2 linked regions of the Canis lupus familiaris genome follow. The protein of the gene in region 1 binds, or shares a complex with, the protein of each later gene. Links are inferred from orthologs where the notes say so. Each region holds a gene or a part of one and is shown in the gene's direction. Other genes may lie near its edges.

The links.
Region 2: POLR1E (region 1) and POLR1F share a complex: the UniProt entries of both Homo sapiens proteins name them as parts of the RNA polymerase I (Pol I) complex. The link is inferred for Canis lupus familiaris from reciprocal best matches to the Homo sapiens genes POLR1E and POLR1F.

The regions. Positions count from the first base shown.
Region 1 is NC_049232.1:54,132,187-54,139,341, forward strand, and holds part of POLR1E (DNA-directed RNA polymerase I subunit RPA49), read left to right. Parts: intron 1-140; coding exon 141-199; intron 200-1,189; coding exon 1,190-1,334; intron 1,335-3,696; coding exon 3,697-3,804; intron 3,805-4,378; coding exon 4,379-4,475; intron 4,476-6,388; coding exon 6,389-6,522; intron 6,523-7,155. UniProt on the Homo sapiens protein: Component of RNA polymerase I (Pol I), a DNA-dependent RNA polymerase which synthesizes ribosomal RNA precursors using the four ribonucleoside triphosphates as substrates.
Region 2 is NC_049235.1:33,896,721-33,903,875, reverse strand, and holds part of POLR1F (DNA-directed RNA polymerase I subunit RPA43), read left to right. Parts: intron 1-3,072; coding exon 3,073-3,214; intron 3,215-6,624; coding exon 6,625-6,833; intron 6,834-7,155. UniProt on the Homo sapiens protein: Component of RNA polymerase I (Pol I), a DNA-dependent RNA polymerase which synthesizes ribosomal RNA precursors using the four ribonucleoside triphosphates as substrates.

The DNA.
Region 1 (7,155 bases):
ATCCATCATGTTAAACTCTGGGAAGTCCTACAGTAAAGAAATCTGTCTGTCTTAGATTAACAGTGAATAAATATTAAATGCTATTATAATCTGGGCCTTACAGCTTCCTTTTTTCCTATTTTTGTTTTGTGTCTTGATAGATGAATCACTTGAGAGCGACTTGACACAAGAGAGTCAGGCCAAAACTTTTAGAGAAAAGGTAAGAATGACAGAAGTGAGACATGGGACCTGCCTCACGTTCCTTCTGTGCCTTGTGCTTCTCCATCAGGAAAATGAGCTGACTGAGCACAGGGCTGCTCCCAGCTCATTCTGTCTGTGGTTCTCCAGTCAGCCTGCCTGTGGAGGCTTCTCAGCTTCACAGAGCGCCGTCCTCCCGCCTGGGGCAGCTATACTCAGCTCCATCCCAGTGTTTGGAACTGATTCTCTGGGCTGACATAGGTGTAGTGTAACACTTGTTTTTGGATTGAATGCAAGTTTCAGAAAATTCTGGCTGTAGCCTGGAAGCTTTCACATTAAAACAGAGTAAACTTCAGGATTTTCAGCGTAGGTGGTTCCTATAAAGCTAATCTCACTCCAGGATTGCAAATTGATTGAGTCTTCAGTGCTGCCTGGAGCACTGTATTGAGAAGGTGTGAGGCTGTCTTCAGGCTCAGTGGGAAAGAGTGAGTGATTAGCAACATCTGCTATGGGTGTAAGGCTGGAAAATGGTAAGTTATGTGCCAGATTTACCAATCCTCATTCTGATCCAGGCTTTTCACTGTACAAATGGAGACACTGTTGATTTGTAAAGAGCCCATGACAGTTTCCAAAGCAAGTACTTCAGGGATCCCTGGGTGGCGTAGCGGTTTGGTGCCTGCCTTTGGCCCAGGGCGCGATCCTGGAGATCCGGGATCGAGTCCCACGTCGGGCTCCCGGTGCATGGAGCCTGCTTCTCCCTCTGCCTGTGTCTCTGCCTCTCTCTCTCACTGTGTGCCTATCATAAATAAATAAAAATTAAAAAAAAAAATTAGCCAAAGCAGGTACTTCAGATCTGCTAATACACCAGCCTGTGAGATAGAGAGGTATGATTTAGCCTGATTTATAGGTGAGGTAATCCTGGCCTAGAAAGGCTGAGTTTCCGCATGGTCACACAGCTAGGAGTAGTAGTGCCCAGACTGTCCCTACACAAACCAAATTTGTCTATGCACAGATGGATTCTTGCATTGAAGCCTTTGGAACCACCAAACAGAAGCGGGCTTTGAACTCCAGAAGAATGAACACAGTTGGCAGTGAATCTCTGAACTGTGCAGTAGCTAAAGCTGCAGAGAATATTATTGATGCGAAGGGTGTAACTGGTAAGCAGCTGGGACTTGGAGTAAGAGTCTGCTCATTGAGACAGCTTCCTTGTCTCTTGAGATCTCTTACCTGCTCCACAGATGGAAATAAGGGTGTGTTAGGGCTGGGTTCCTTCCTCACTCTCACTGAGCACCTTCTTGGGAACAGACTTTGGAAATAGTAAGAAACATCTGCCCTCAGGGAGCTCACAGTCAAGCGGAGGAGACGGGCATGGGAACGGGTATGTTTACACTGTGTCCTGAGTGCCAGGGTGCGAAGGGAGAAAGCCTCAGTGTCTGGGAATCACAGGAAAGTTTTGGACAAAAAGACTGATACGATGAAGTGAGCCTTTACAGATAGTGCTTCACTCTGGGATCAGTGGACCTTTTTCTGTTCCTAAATTCATCAGTAGCTTGAGTGTTTAATTGTATTGTTTAAAAGTGTATTTGTTCAAAAGCATTATGAGAACATAAGAGAAAGTTTACATAAGAGCAGCCTTTCTATTAAAATGAGGTTTTAGGGGATGCCTGAGTAGCTCAGTGGTTGAGCACCTGCCTTTGGCTCAGGGCGTGATCCTGGGGTCCCAGGATCAAGTCCCACATCGGGCTCCTTGCGTGGAGCCTGCTTCTCCCTCTACCTGTATCTCTGCCTCTCTTTCTCTCTGTGTCTCTCATGAATAAATAAGATCTTTTAAAAAAAAGGGGGGGATTTTAGGGGTGTTTGAGTGGCTTGTTGGTTAAGCGTCTGTCTATCTCAGGTCTTGGTCTCAGGGTCGTGAGTTCAAGCCCCACATTGGGCTCCTTGCTGGGCATGGAGCCTACCTAAGAAAAAATAAATAAGATGGGATTTTAGTAATTTTTAGAAAAATCTTTCCAAACCCTATGATTATATAAATATTTTCTTATGTTTTCTCTCCGTATTTTTACAATTTTACTTTTTACATATAAATTTTAATGAAGATACTTTTTTGCCATATGGTAAAGACCTTATATTTTCCAAAGGATTAGCCAGCTGCCCCAACTCCATCCTTTTCTTTGTAGAAGATGATTTAAAAAGCTATCCTTCTCACTTTAGCACATTCTGTGTTCTGTCCAACTGTCCATTCTGTTCCTGCGGGAACACCAGGCTCTTTTGATTGCAGTACCCTCATCTTCCTGCTTCTATTTCTGATGCGGCAAATTCCTCCTCTTCTCCTTCCCTCCTTATTTTTCACAAACGTTGGTTAGAATAGCATGCCTTTTCCCCCAGGTGATCTTAAGAATTATTTCATCAAATTCCCTCAATTGAGATGAATATGGAGAGAATCAACATCTTTACAATATTATGGGTTTTTTTTATCCTGGAATATAGAAATATGTTTCTCTGTTTATTTGAAAGTGTAAGTAAATTTTTGAATATTTTTGTTTAGTTTAATTCTCAGCTGTCAAAGGACATTTAAAAGGAAAAGAAAAAGAAGTGCCTGGGTGGCTCAGTTGGTTAAGCACCCAACTCATTATTTTGGCTCAGGTCATGCATGATCTTAGGGGGTCATGAGTTTAAGCCCTGAGTGGGGCTCCACACTCAGTGGGGAGTCAGCTTGGGGTTCTCTCCCTCTGCTCCTCTCCCCACTGGCACTCAGTCTCTCTCTCAAATAAATAAAATAAATTGGTTTTTAAAATCCTAATTAAAAAAAGATAAATAATTCATTCATTCCCTATCATTTTACCAGACCAACTATTAGAATGTTCCTGTATTCCTCTTTGTCCTTGTCTATATAAGTTCTTAATCTTACATGGTTATTCTTGTAGTTCACAGTTTTATATTCTGATTTTTTTTTACAAACTATTTCCTTTTTAAAGATTTTATTTATTTATTCATGAGAGACACACAGAGAGAGGCAGAGACACAGGCAGAGAGAAAAGCAGGCTTCACGCAGGGAGCCTGATGTGGGACTCGATCCCAGATCCCGGGATCATGCCCTGAGCCAAAGGCAGATGCTCAACCGCTGAGCCACCCGGGTGTCCCTATATTCTGATTTTTACTCGTAATATATGGGGAAGTTTTCCAGAAGTGAAGCCATTAAAAGCTCTCTTCCTGACTTTTGGCTTCTCTTGCACTGTAAATATTTATTAGCACACCTGTCCTCTGAACTGTTGTGCGAGTTACTTGAGAGGGCCCTCACTGTGTGAGCCTTCTCCAGTGCCTGGTTAGGTTTGTGTTATGAGTGGACATCAGCCCAGACCCAGCAGCCAGCCTGATGGAGAGTTCAGGCCACATTGGCAGAAGCATTCAGATTAGGATTTTTTGGACCAATTACAACCTTGAGCGCACAAGTTTCAGAGTATTGGGGAACCTGAAGCCACACAGGATGATACTAACACTGTCTCTTCCTTTATCAAAAAGCTCTGGTCAACGATGCCATCCATGATGATCTGCAGGATGACTCCCTCTACCTTCCTCCCTGCCACGCTGATGCAGCCAAGCCTGAAGACGTATATAAATTTGAAGACCGTATCCTTGTTGCAGTAGAAACACTGCCTTACTTCCCAAGTTGGGATGTGCATACATGAGTGGACAGACAGGCTTTCTGAGGCTGTTGGTGGTCCCATGATGCTCAGAGAAGCTACATCCAGATCTTCGCCCTTGCCCTGGCCCTTTTGCTGGGAAGTTACCTGGGCTTCCTTACTGGCTGAGGGTCAAGCCCATTCCTCAGCAAAGTGCCAAATACCCTCAAGTTCAGCCCTATGGAGGTCACTTGCTATGAGTAGTCAAAATAAGATTTTTAAGTCAGCCCTAAGTCTGGAGCAGACTGATCTGTAAAAGGTGGAGCATAGAATTTCCCTACTCATGGGTCTGGTCAGAGGGAGAATGCCTGCAGTGGCTTTGTGATGAGCCATGGAAGCAGAAAAGGCCTGGCAGGGAATGGGCTCTGGGCTGGGAGTCTGGAAAACCGTGTCCCTGCGCTCAGCCCCAGTGTACTATTGGCCTCAACTTTCCCATCTCGAATATGGAGCCGCTCTGAGATGAGATAGCTGGTTAGATGTTTTTCTTTGGATCAGATTATATTCTTGACCTGTTTAACTAGTTCTGTCCACTGCGGAGTATGAAGCTCTTCAGAGCCCATCTGAAGCTTTCAGGAATGTCTCATCAGAGGAAATACTGAAGATGATTGAAGAGAACAGGTATCCTCCCCTCTTGGGTGGATGGAGCATCTGGGGCTGTGATGGCAGAGCTCAACAGTAGTCAGACATGAAGGAGACCTTTAGGGGTGTCAGTCGGTGAGGGCATATGTCTTTTCAGGATCTGAACATGAACGAGCCAGTGTTCTCTTGAAAATATTTGGGCTTTCCAGCCTCTTGTCCCAAGGCTGTGGGTGGCATTCAAGGGAGAACGAGGTGGCCTCTGAGTGCTTGGAGCCCGTGGCTGAGCAGAGGGTGGTGAGGCCTTAAGGTTGGGCTTTGAACCGGAGCAGGCCTGTGTCCCCAGGGCTATGCTGATTGTGATCATCACCAGTGGGGCCCAGGCGCTAGCCCGCGAGTTGGTGCCAGTGCAAGTGATGGTTGATGCCGAGTGAGCTTTTATACGTGAAGTTAAATTTATGAGCGGTTTAGGCGATAAAGCATCCGACTCTTGATTTCGGCTCAGGTCATGATCTCAGAGTAGTGAGATCAAGCCCCAAGTTGGACTCCACACTCAGCAAGGGTTCTTCTCTTGTCTTATCTGTATCTGTCTCTCTCTCTCTGCTCTTCCATTCACGTGTGCTCTTTAAATCTTTTTTTAAAAAAGTTAAGTTTAGGGGATCCCTGGGTGGCTCAGTTGTTTAGCGCCTGCCTTCGGCCCAGGGCATGATCCTGGAGTCCTGGGATCGAGTCCCACATCGGGCTTCCTGCATGGAGCCTGCTTCTCGTTCTGCCTGTGTCTCTGCCTCTGTCTCTCTGTGTGTCTAATGAATAAATAAAATCTTTAAAAAAATTAAAAAGTTAAGTTTATATATTTAAATACTATATATTTTAAATAACTCAGATGATCTCCCCTGTACCTTTTGACCCTTAAACAGCTTCTCTTTGTTTTTTTTGTTTGTTTTAAGCAGCTTCTCTTTGATGATGACAGTGGAATTTTCTTGCTTTTGAGTTTTTTCTTTTAATAATTTCATCTTGAGAAAATAAAAAATTGAAAACCCTAGGTTGGTTCCCTGATTTTTGAAGGTGCTTTTGTTGTTCCAAAGATACATTTCCAGAAAAACTTATTACTGGTTCTTGGTTGTCGTAATGTAATCATGGCTCAGCAGCAGGTGAGGAATGAGCTCTGGGCCGAGAGTCTGGAGAACTGAGTTCCTGAGCTCTGCCTGAGGTACTGTGTGATCTTCCCTTCATTGAGGCTCAGTTTTCCTATCTGTAAAATGAGCCTGCTGCAAGATGATCTTGAAGAGCCTTTTTATTTCTGTGAGTCTGGGCCTCATGGTAGTAGAACAGTTCATAAAAGAATAACTGACATTGATGGAGCTTTTGTATGTGCCAGGTACTGTTTTAAATGCTTTAAATGAGACTTGCGTTACCTCATTTAATGCACAAAAAACCTCTAGAGGGAGGCCACTATCTTTGTCCTTAATTTTTAGGTGAAGATGTTGTACGGAGATGTACAGACACACTGAAACTTGCCCAGGCTACTAATTGGTAGAGAGGGGATTCAAACCCAGGCAATCTAACTGAAGGGCCTGTGCTCCAGACCACACATCAGGACGGGGCAGACAATGGCCTGTGTGCCAAGGTCAGGCTGCTGTCTATGAGTAAAGTCTTATTGGAACACAGCTATGGCGGTTCATTTGTTATTAATGGCTGTTTTTGCACTACACTGGCAGCTTTGAGTAGATTTAACAGAGATCCAATGGCCCACAGAGCCTAAAATATTTATTGTCTAGCCCTTTCCTGCCTTAGCACTAAACCATGCTCACTGTGTAATAAGGAGGATATTAGGATGGCTCTTCAACGGTTGAATGTGATCAGCTGTGGAGGATGCCCGCTGTTTTCATCATGAGCGTCAGTGGTTCCTGACAGGGTTGGTCTTACATATTCCTCCCTTGTCCCCCTTGTTTTAGCCACTGCTCCTTTGTCATAGAAGCATTGAAGTCTTTGCCATCAGATGAGAAGAGCCGAGACCGCCAGGCCCGATGCATATGGTTTCTGGACACGCTCATCAAATTTCGAGCACAGAAAGTGATTAAGCGGAAAAGTAAGTCCATGATAGACATTTTATTCTAGTCCTTTCCAGCCTGTTATTTGTTCAACCAGCTCTCGTGAGAGAAGAAAATGCGTGTGCTTGTCCAGATCTTTATCTCTGACTGTGTAACAGTGAGGTTCCTGTAGCTGCCAACACGGGTTGGAGGATTGGCCCAGCTCTTTACTCCTCTGAAAATGGGGACGGGCTTGGTGGTCCGATTGTTCAGAGCTAATATTCACTACTTCTCTTCTGCATTGGGCGAAGTATAGACTTCAGTCAAATCGAATGAAAATTTCAAGGGATGGTTGGACCAAACATCAGTCCCATGGGGAGAAAAATCGGCTTGGCTCACATGAAGGCTTGTGGCAGGTTTTTGTTGTGTCAGCTTATTCTTTCTGTGAAAGAAGAGAGTCCATTCCCCCTGGTAACCTGTGTCCTCTATAGTGAGGGCCACAGGTGAGAGCCTCCCACTCCTGTCTACCTGGAGCTAGAAACCCGCCTGTGGTTTTAGGCACAAGCTGGTGCCATCTTGTTGTTGCTAGAGCTCCCAAGAGTCTGTATGTTTTCAGTATTTACTTGGTTTATTTTCGCATTTCAGTCTCCTTTCCTTTCCCTCTCCCTGGGCTTTCACCACAAGCTGTATTG
Region 2 (7,155 bases), on another chromosome or scaffold:
GCAATGTCTCCTGTTCACCAGAACCTGACACTGCAGGGGTGTCTCTTATGTGTGTTGCATGTGTATTGCTTTTGTGGCTGAGCCATGTTTCCCTTCAGTCCAGTCGTCTGCAGTGGCTCTCTTTGCCTGTATGGGCAGGGTTTGGTCCTTGTGTTGTTAGTGGACCAATCTGGGTCCACCTTGGGCTTGAAATGAGCGAGAGCAGTCTTTTGCCAGAGCCATGGTAGCACCAAACTCAAGGGTGCTTTCCCTCTGTGGTCACCTGAGAAACTTTTATTGGTGGGCTGAGTCTGCAGTTAGACCAGATTTCTGTTCCCAGTCCACTAATTGGGGGCAGGGTGCTGCATCTGGACTGGTGTGTGTTGGTATTTTTCCTCTCTCAGGAGCAAGTGTCACTTTGGAGTGCTGCTGGCCCCTGTGGGGGCTACACGCATAAGGCGCAAGGCGTGCGGCACTACTTTGGATGGGCTTCAGCCAAGATCTTCAGGAGAACAGAGAAGCTGGGTGTCCTGCACATGGTGCCAGCAAGGTCTCTTATATACTGGTCTCCCGTGAGAAGGGAGCTGAAGCAGCCTGGGAATACTCCTGTAGGCAGTTGAAGGGGGTGGGTCCACATTAAGTGTGTGGCTGGGGCATGCTTTCAGCAAGCTAGGTGGATAGGTAGAGATGGTTGTGCTGGACCCTGCAGCTGTCTATGTAGTCAGGCTGGGGGCAGGTGCTGGGGAGGGAAATAGCACCCACCAGGTCTTTTGTTTTTGGTGAAATCTCCCAAAGTTCCCTGCGTCTCCAGTACATGCTCTGAGATTATTAAATAAATCTCCTTCCTGTATACCCCAGGCATTTTTCGATCTGCTACTTCTGTGCTGTATCTCAAGCAGGGCTGTTGTGCAGTTTCTTTAAGGGCAGGGAGAGTCAAGTTTTCTATCTCCCTCTTGCCTCTTAATGTATTGGGCCTGCTGAGTTTTAAAGTTCCAGGTGTTAAGCCCTGTTGATTGTTAACAAAACTGGAGAAGCCCTCTGGTTTTCAAAGCCAAATGTTATGGGGATTTGTCTTTTAACTGCAGTCCCCCAACCCGGGGTACTGGGGGCTAGGTCTTCTCTTCCCTCTCTGCCCCCAGTGTTCTTTCCTCCCAAGGTCTGTCCTCCTCTATGGTATGATCTTTCAGTAAGGATAAAACATGTTTATGAACAGATCTAAATTTATCTTTAATTTCTCTTTAATAAGACAAAAGTAGATAAATTTATGTGTAGTAATCAATATTTTTGGTATTTTATTTAGGAAAAAATTGAGATGTCTAGTGAAGGGTTTCTCAAAGGTTTAATGGATTTACACAAATCCTTTTGGGTTTAGGCTCTATGGTCACATTCCCTAATTATCAATTTTGAACCCTACAGAACCCAATACATCTCTTAGAGTAAATATTTTGCAATACTATCTTTACTATCACGAAAGTACATCTTTACTGTGAATTGAAACTTAAAGGTAACACAACTTACCTACATAATTGAAAAAAGAATTTGTAAGTGCTCCTACACAATACAATAAATTATATTTCAATGTGATAATGCTTAAGCATGACTACCTAGGAATAGTTGAAGTACTTTGATGACTTCTGCACTGACACAAGAATTGTGAATGTCTCCATTATATAAGGGTGGATTGATGCAGGGGTTTTGAGTTGACAACTTAGAGAAGACATACATTATCTCCATCGGTGAAATGCTTTTCTGAAGTGATGAGCAGTTCTCAGTAAAATTCCCTACTACTCTTGAATTTGCTACTACATTCCTGGAAATTTTAATGTATATTGAAACCGTGGAAACATGCCTGTACACTGATATATGTGTGTGTGCATATATATATATATATATATATATATATATGCGCGCACACACACACAAATATAAAGTGTGTGTGTATACAGTAAAATTAGATTCTGTGTACATCTGTTTATAAATCAGTTTGTTCCCTCAGAGGTCATGTAGACTTCTTGATTTTCTGTGATGGTGTAGTTCCTGCTTGGGAAAACACAAGCAGACACTAACAGTTCAAAAAAATGCTTTCTGGAATAAATCTCTTGAGTTTTTGGTCTTTTTGATTTGATAGTTATTAAAGTTCCTTTCCAGTGGCTCCTGGCTGTTTTATTTAAGCAGCAGCTATTAGGGATAAATTCTTTCTCTTATGCCATGTGAATAGTTTTAGAAATTTAGTAGAGTTCAACAAAAATGTGCTGGGCTCTGAAGGGCCACTACTCTAGTAGTGTGTGGAATGCAAACATATTTGCAGATAGTTCATAAAATGAGATTAAGTTCAGTGATGATGCTGTGCCATGGAATCTTCTAAGAGTGGAGGAGGAGTGATTTCATCCTTGCCTTGCTGAGTCTAGGACGTTTTCTTGATCAAGTAGTAGGTGTGGTAGTGAAGCCACCAGGTCTGCCTCCTTAGTAGTTAAAATTTGTTAAGTACTTGGAAATGACATTTTCAAATAGTAGTTGCTCCCTAATCCTGTCCCCTATGTAGACTAAAGTGGCAAAATGGGTTCTTAATAATTATAACTATATATTTCATTTATTAACATTACTATTTGTTACATACAGATGGAGTTTGAGGATTTTTCTCTAAGTCATTGGCTTTAATATTCAGGGGCTTGACCTGTGATTCTGGTAATTCTCTTACTATAGGCCATCCAGTACAGAAATTCAGTAATGGTAGATAATACCAAAATTGTCTTGATTTGGTTATACTCAGAGACATTTTTCATTCAAGTCTCCCCCCCACCCCCACCCCCACATTCTAGCATGACTAGAATTCTAATAGGTCAACCTACTGCTCATGTATAATTGGACATTTTGTTTCTGGGTACCTGTCTTGAACAGTCTTTTATTTAGTCAATATATTGGAACCTTTTGGTGAAATTGAATTACTCAAGTTGTTATGGATTAATCATATGCTATTGTGTTTTGGCATGCGTGAGTATATTTAAGAGGCATATAATTTTTGGACTCTGAATATTTAATAATTATGGCCTAGTTTAAAAGAAGATAAAAATAAATTTCTTTCTTTTCTAATAGCCTTTCAGGTGTCCCCATTGCATATGATAACATCAAAGTAGTGGGTGAACTGGGAGATATTTATGATGATCAAGGACACATTCATCTTAACATCGAAGCAGATTTTGTTATTTTCTGTCCTGAACCAGGGAAAAAGCTTATGGTATGTATTTATACACACACTTTTTTATGCTTTCTCTAATTGTATAATTATGTAATTTGGAAAATCTTAAGAGATTTGGGAAGCAAATGGATTGCTGTTGTGGTTTCCTGAAAATTATTTTTAAAAGAAAAAAAATTACTGTCCATTTAATCTTGGTAAATTTTTAAATTCCATTCTTCTCAAACTCACATGTGTATGCAGATAATGTGTCTAATAGAATTTATTCTTTTCTTTGGATAGCATCAGAATGATCTTAGGCAGTAAGAAAAAAATTTTATTTCATAATTTCTCAGTTATACACAATAGTTCCTTCATACTACTACCCTGTTCGAATCCTTTATATCAAATAGGAGTTGAAAATTCAAATGGTTGCAGGACCAGGCAGGTAATGAAAGTGAATGAAGAATGAGGTTAGAGCACCCATAACGCGCCATATGATAAAGGCCCTGTGGGATAGGTCTTTTAGTTTTTCAAAAGAAGCTGAAGTATATCCTCATATGTTCTGCACTAGCCTCTCCTACCAGTTCTGCATGTATACATTGATATATATATACATAAGAATATATATACACGTGTCTATTTTTTCCTTTAACAAAAAATTATGTAGGAATTGCATAATCATTTAAGAACTGTTAACTAACCCTTTATTGCTAATAAAAACACAGGTAAAATTTTACTGTCAAATCTGTAAGGCATTAATAATTTAAAAAAGCTTTTCAGAATCAGTTAAACTGGTAGAGCATCCTGGGCATGACCAGCTGGGATCCTACAACCAGCCTCTATACTTCTAAAGTTGGCAATAGATTTGTACTTAAAGCTGGTAACAGTTAAGTGTAGGAATTTTTGTATAAGTTACTGTAAATGTATACATGGAAGTACCACACTATACAGAAAATATGAAATGAAAAAAGAAATCAATCCTTTTACTCTATTCCCTACAATAAGATCCAGTCTTCAAATACATTTGGACAGTGTGTTCAGTTTTTTTTAATATGAAGTATAATTTACATACAATAAAATGAGATCTAATTTACATACAACAGAACGCACAGATCATAGTGTACAGTTCAATAAATTCTGGTGAGAGCATGTATTCTGTTCTATTTCAGAAAGATGCTTATGCCCTTTCCTGGTCAGTCCTCTCTCCATTCCAGAATACAACCACTGTTCTGATTACATTTATTGTGAAAGTAGTTTTGTTTATTCTAAAATTTCATGTTAATGGAATTTTTCATTATACAGTGTTTGAAAATCTGACCTCTTTTGCTCAACATGTTTTTTTTTTTTTTTTTTTTTTTTTTGCATTTCATGCATGCTGTTTGTTGTAATGGTTTCTTTTTGTTGTTCGTCGTATTCAGTTGCATGAATGTATAATTTAATTGCCTGTCTTCATCGATAGACATTTGGGCTGTTTCCATTATGGAGCTATTATGAATAAAGCTGTGAATGTACATTTTCATTTCTCCTAGGTAAAAACTAAAAGTGGAATGCTAGGTCACAGAGTAGATGTGTTTAACTTTATGAAAAACAGGCAAATTTCCCATTCAGCACTATAACTTGCTTTGCATCCTTGCCAGCATTTGGTTTTGTCACTCTTCTAATTTTACTGATGGGCATATACGAGTTTCCCATCACGGTTTTAATTTGCATTTCTCTAGAGCTCTTTTTCATGTGTTTCAGTAAGGGGCCTATTTAAGTGCTTTACTCATTTTTAATTGGGTTTTTGTATTATTGAAGTATAGTAGTTCTGTTTGTAGCCTTCCTACAGATCCTTTTCAGATCATTTGTTAATATTTTACTCCAGTTGGTAAACTTGTCTCTTTTTAATGGTATCATTTCATAAACAGAAGTTTTTAATATTGATGATCAGTTTGTCTTATTTTTTTGGTTGTTGCTTTTGGGATCCTACGTAAGAAACTTGCCTACTGCTGGATTGTGAAGATACTTTTTATAAGCTTCTAGAATTTTTTAGTTTTAGCTTTGTTATTTAGATCTGTGATAAGTCTTTAATCTTTGTGTGTAATATGAAGTAGATCCTTGAGATATATTTTCTTATTCATATGGTTATTCAGTAGTTCTAGAACCCTGTATTGAAAAGATGTTCGTTTTCCTATTATTTCCTTAATTGATAGGCTTTATTGTTTTATAGCAGTTTTAGATTTACAGAAAAAATGAGTAGAAAATAATACCTCTGTTCACTTCTCCACCCCAGCATACACAAACACAGTTGCTCCTATTGTTGACATCTTGCATTAGTGTGATAACATTTGTTACAGTTCTTAAGCTGATATTGATACATTATTATTTTTAGGGTTTAGAATTAGTTTTTCCTGTTGTACATTCTAAAACCCAGGGAATGTAAGTACAACTTAATGACCTGTGTCCTGTGTTCCCTTTACTGTATCCTGTAGAATAATTGGGTACTGCTCTCAGAATTCTCTATTTTACCTATTCACCCCTCACCTTCCTTCCATCCTCCTGAATCCTGGCAACTATTGATCTTTTTACTGTCTGGTCTCTATGGTTTACCCTCTCCAGAATGTCATATAGTTGGAATCATATTGTATGTAGCCTTTCAGCTTGCCTTCTTTCACTTAGCAGTATGCATTTAAGGTTCCTCCATGTCTTTTCATGGCTTGATAGTTATTTTTTTATTGCTGATTAGTACTCATTGTATAGATGCAGTGCAGTTTGTCCATACCACCCAGAATGTACCATTGGGAACACCAGACTCCTAATAATGACAGCCAATGAATTTTTTGTGTATAAGGAGTTGCAACACTAACATGTATACAGTTTTGTTTAAAGTTTAAAATAAATGACTTAAACGTTTCAGATGTTAATTTATATACATTATATACATTGATTTGTAGGGAAAGAAAAGAAAACTAAGGCTTTTTTTTTTTTTTTGAAACTTTCATATTTTAAGCTTAAAATCATATAGCACATACTTTTTAAAGCTTCCCAAAATGCTTTGTGATTCAGTCAAAATAGCCATGCTCAAGATCTACATTTCACATTTAGGTTATATCAAAGAGTATTTTCTGCTTGGTTTCATTATGGTTATACTCTACTCACCAGGGAATCCTGTAGTAGGAGCAAAGGAGTTGTTTTTATTGGGGGGGGGGGGGGGGGGGGGAGTGAGAAGAATAGTTGTTTATCCAGTTAGGCAATTGATATGCAATTACTTAGTAAAGTTGAACTTTTCTCAAATCTCTACAGTGTTTTAAAATGATGGTTTAGTATAATATGTAAATTTCAATCAAAAAAATTTTTTCCATGTCAAATTATACCATATTTTGATGTTTTTTTTTTTTTTTGAAGATCAACTTGAGGCTTATAAAGTTTTATTTACCTTTTAACTCTGGATTTCTTGATGTTACAGTTTTTTTTTTTCTCTTTCTTCCCAGGGTATAGTTAATAAAGTGTCATCCAGCCACATTGGCTGTTTAGTACATGGGTGTTTCAATGCCTCCATTCCTAAACCTGAGCAGATGTCTACTGAGCAGTGGCAGATCCTGGAGATAAATGTAGGTGATGAACTAGAATTTGAAGTATTTCGTTTGGACTCAGATGCTGCTGGAGTATTCTGCATTCGGGGAAAGTTGAATATCACTAGGTCAGTTCCTAATCACATTATTTTAATTTTGATATTTAGTCATTTGTTTAATTCTCAATTTAGAGAACATAAGTCCCTCTTAAAAAAAAAAAAAAAATTATTAGGGTATTCATGCTTCCAAACCATAAAGTCAGTGCAAATAGGAATCTAAAGTGTTAAGACAATGCATTGAATATTCTAAATCTCTACACATCTAGCTAACTGTTCTGTATTTTACTAAAACTCAGTCTTACTGAGTATTTTCTAGTTAATTTTTAACTAAAATTAATTTTTCTAGTTAATTGTTAGCATTTTCACAGTTGAAACACAAATTTGATTATTG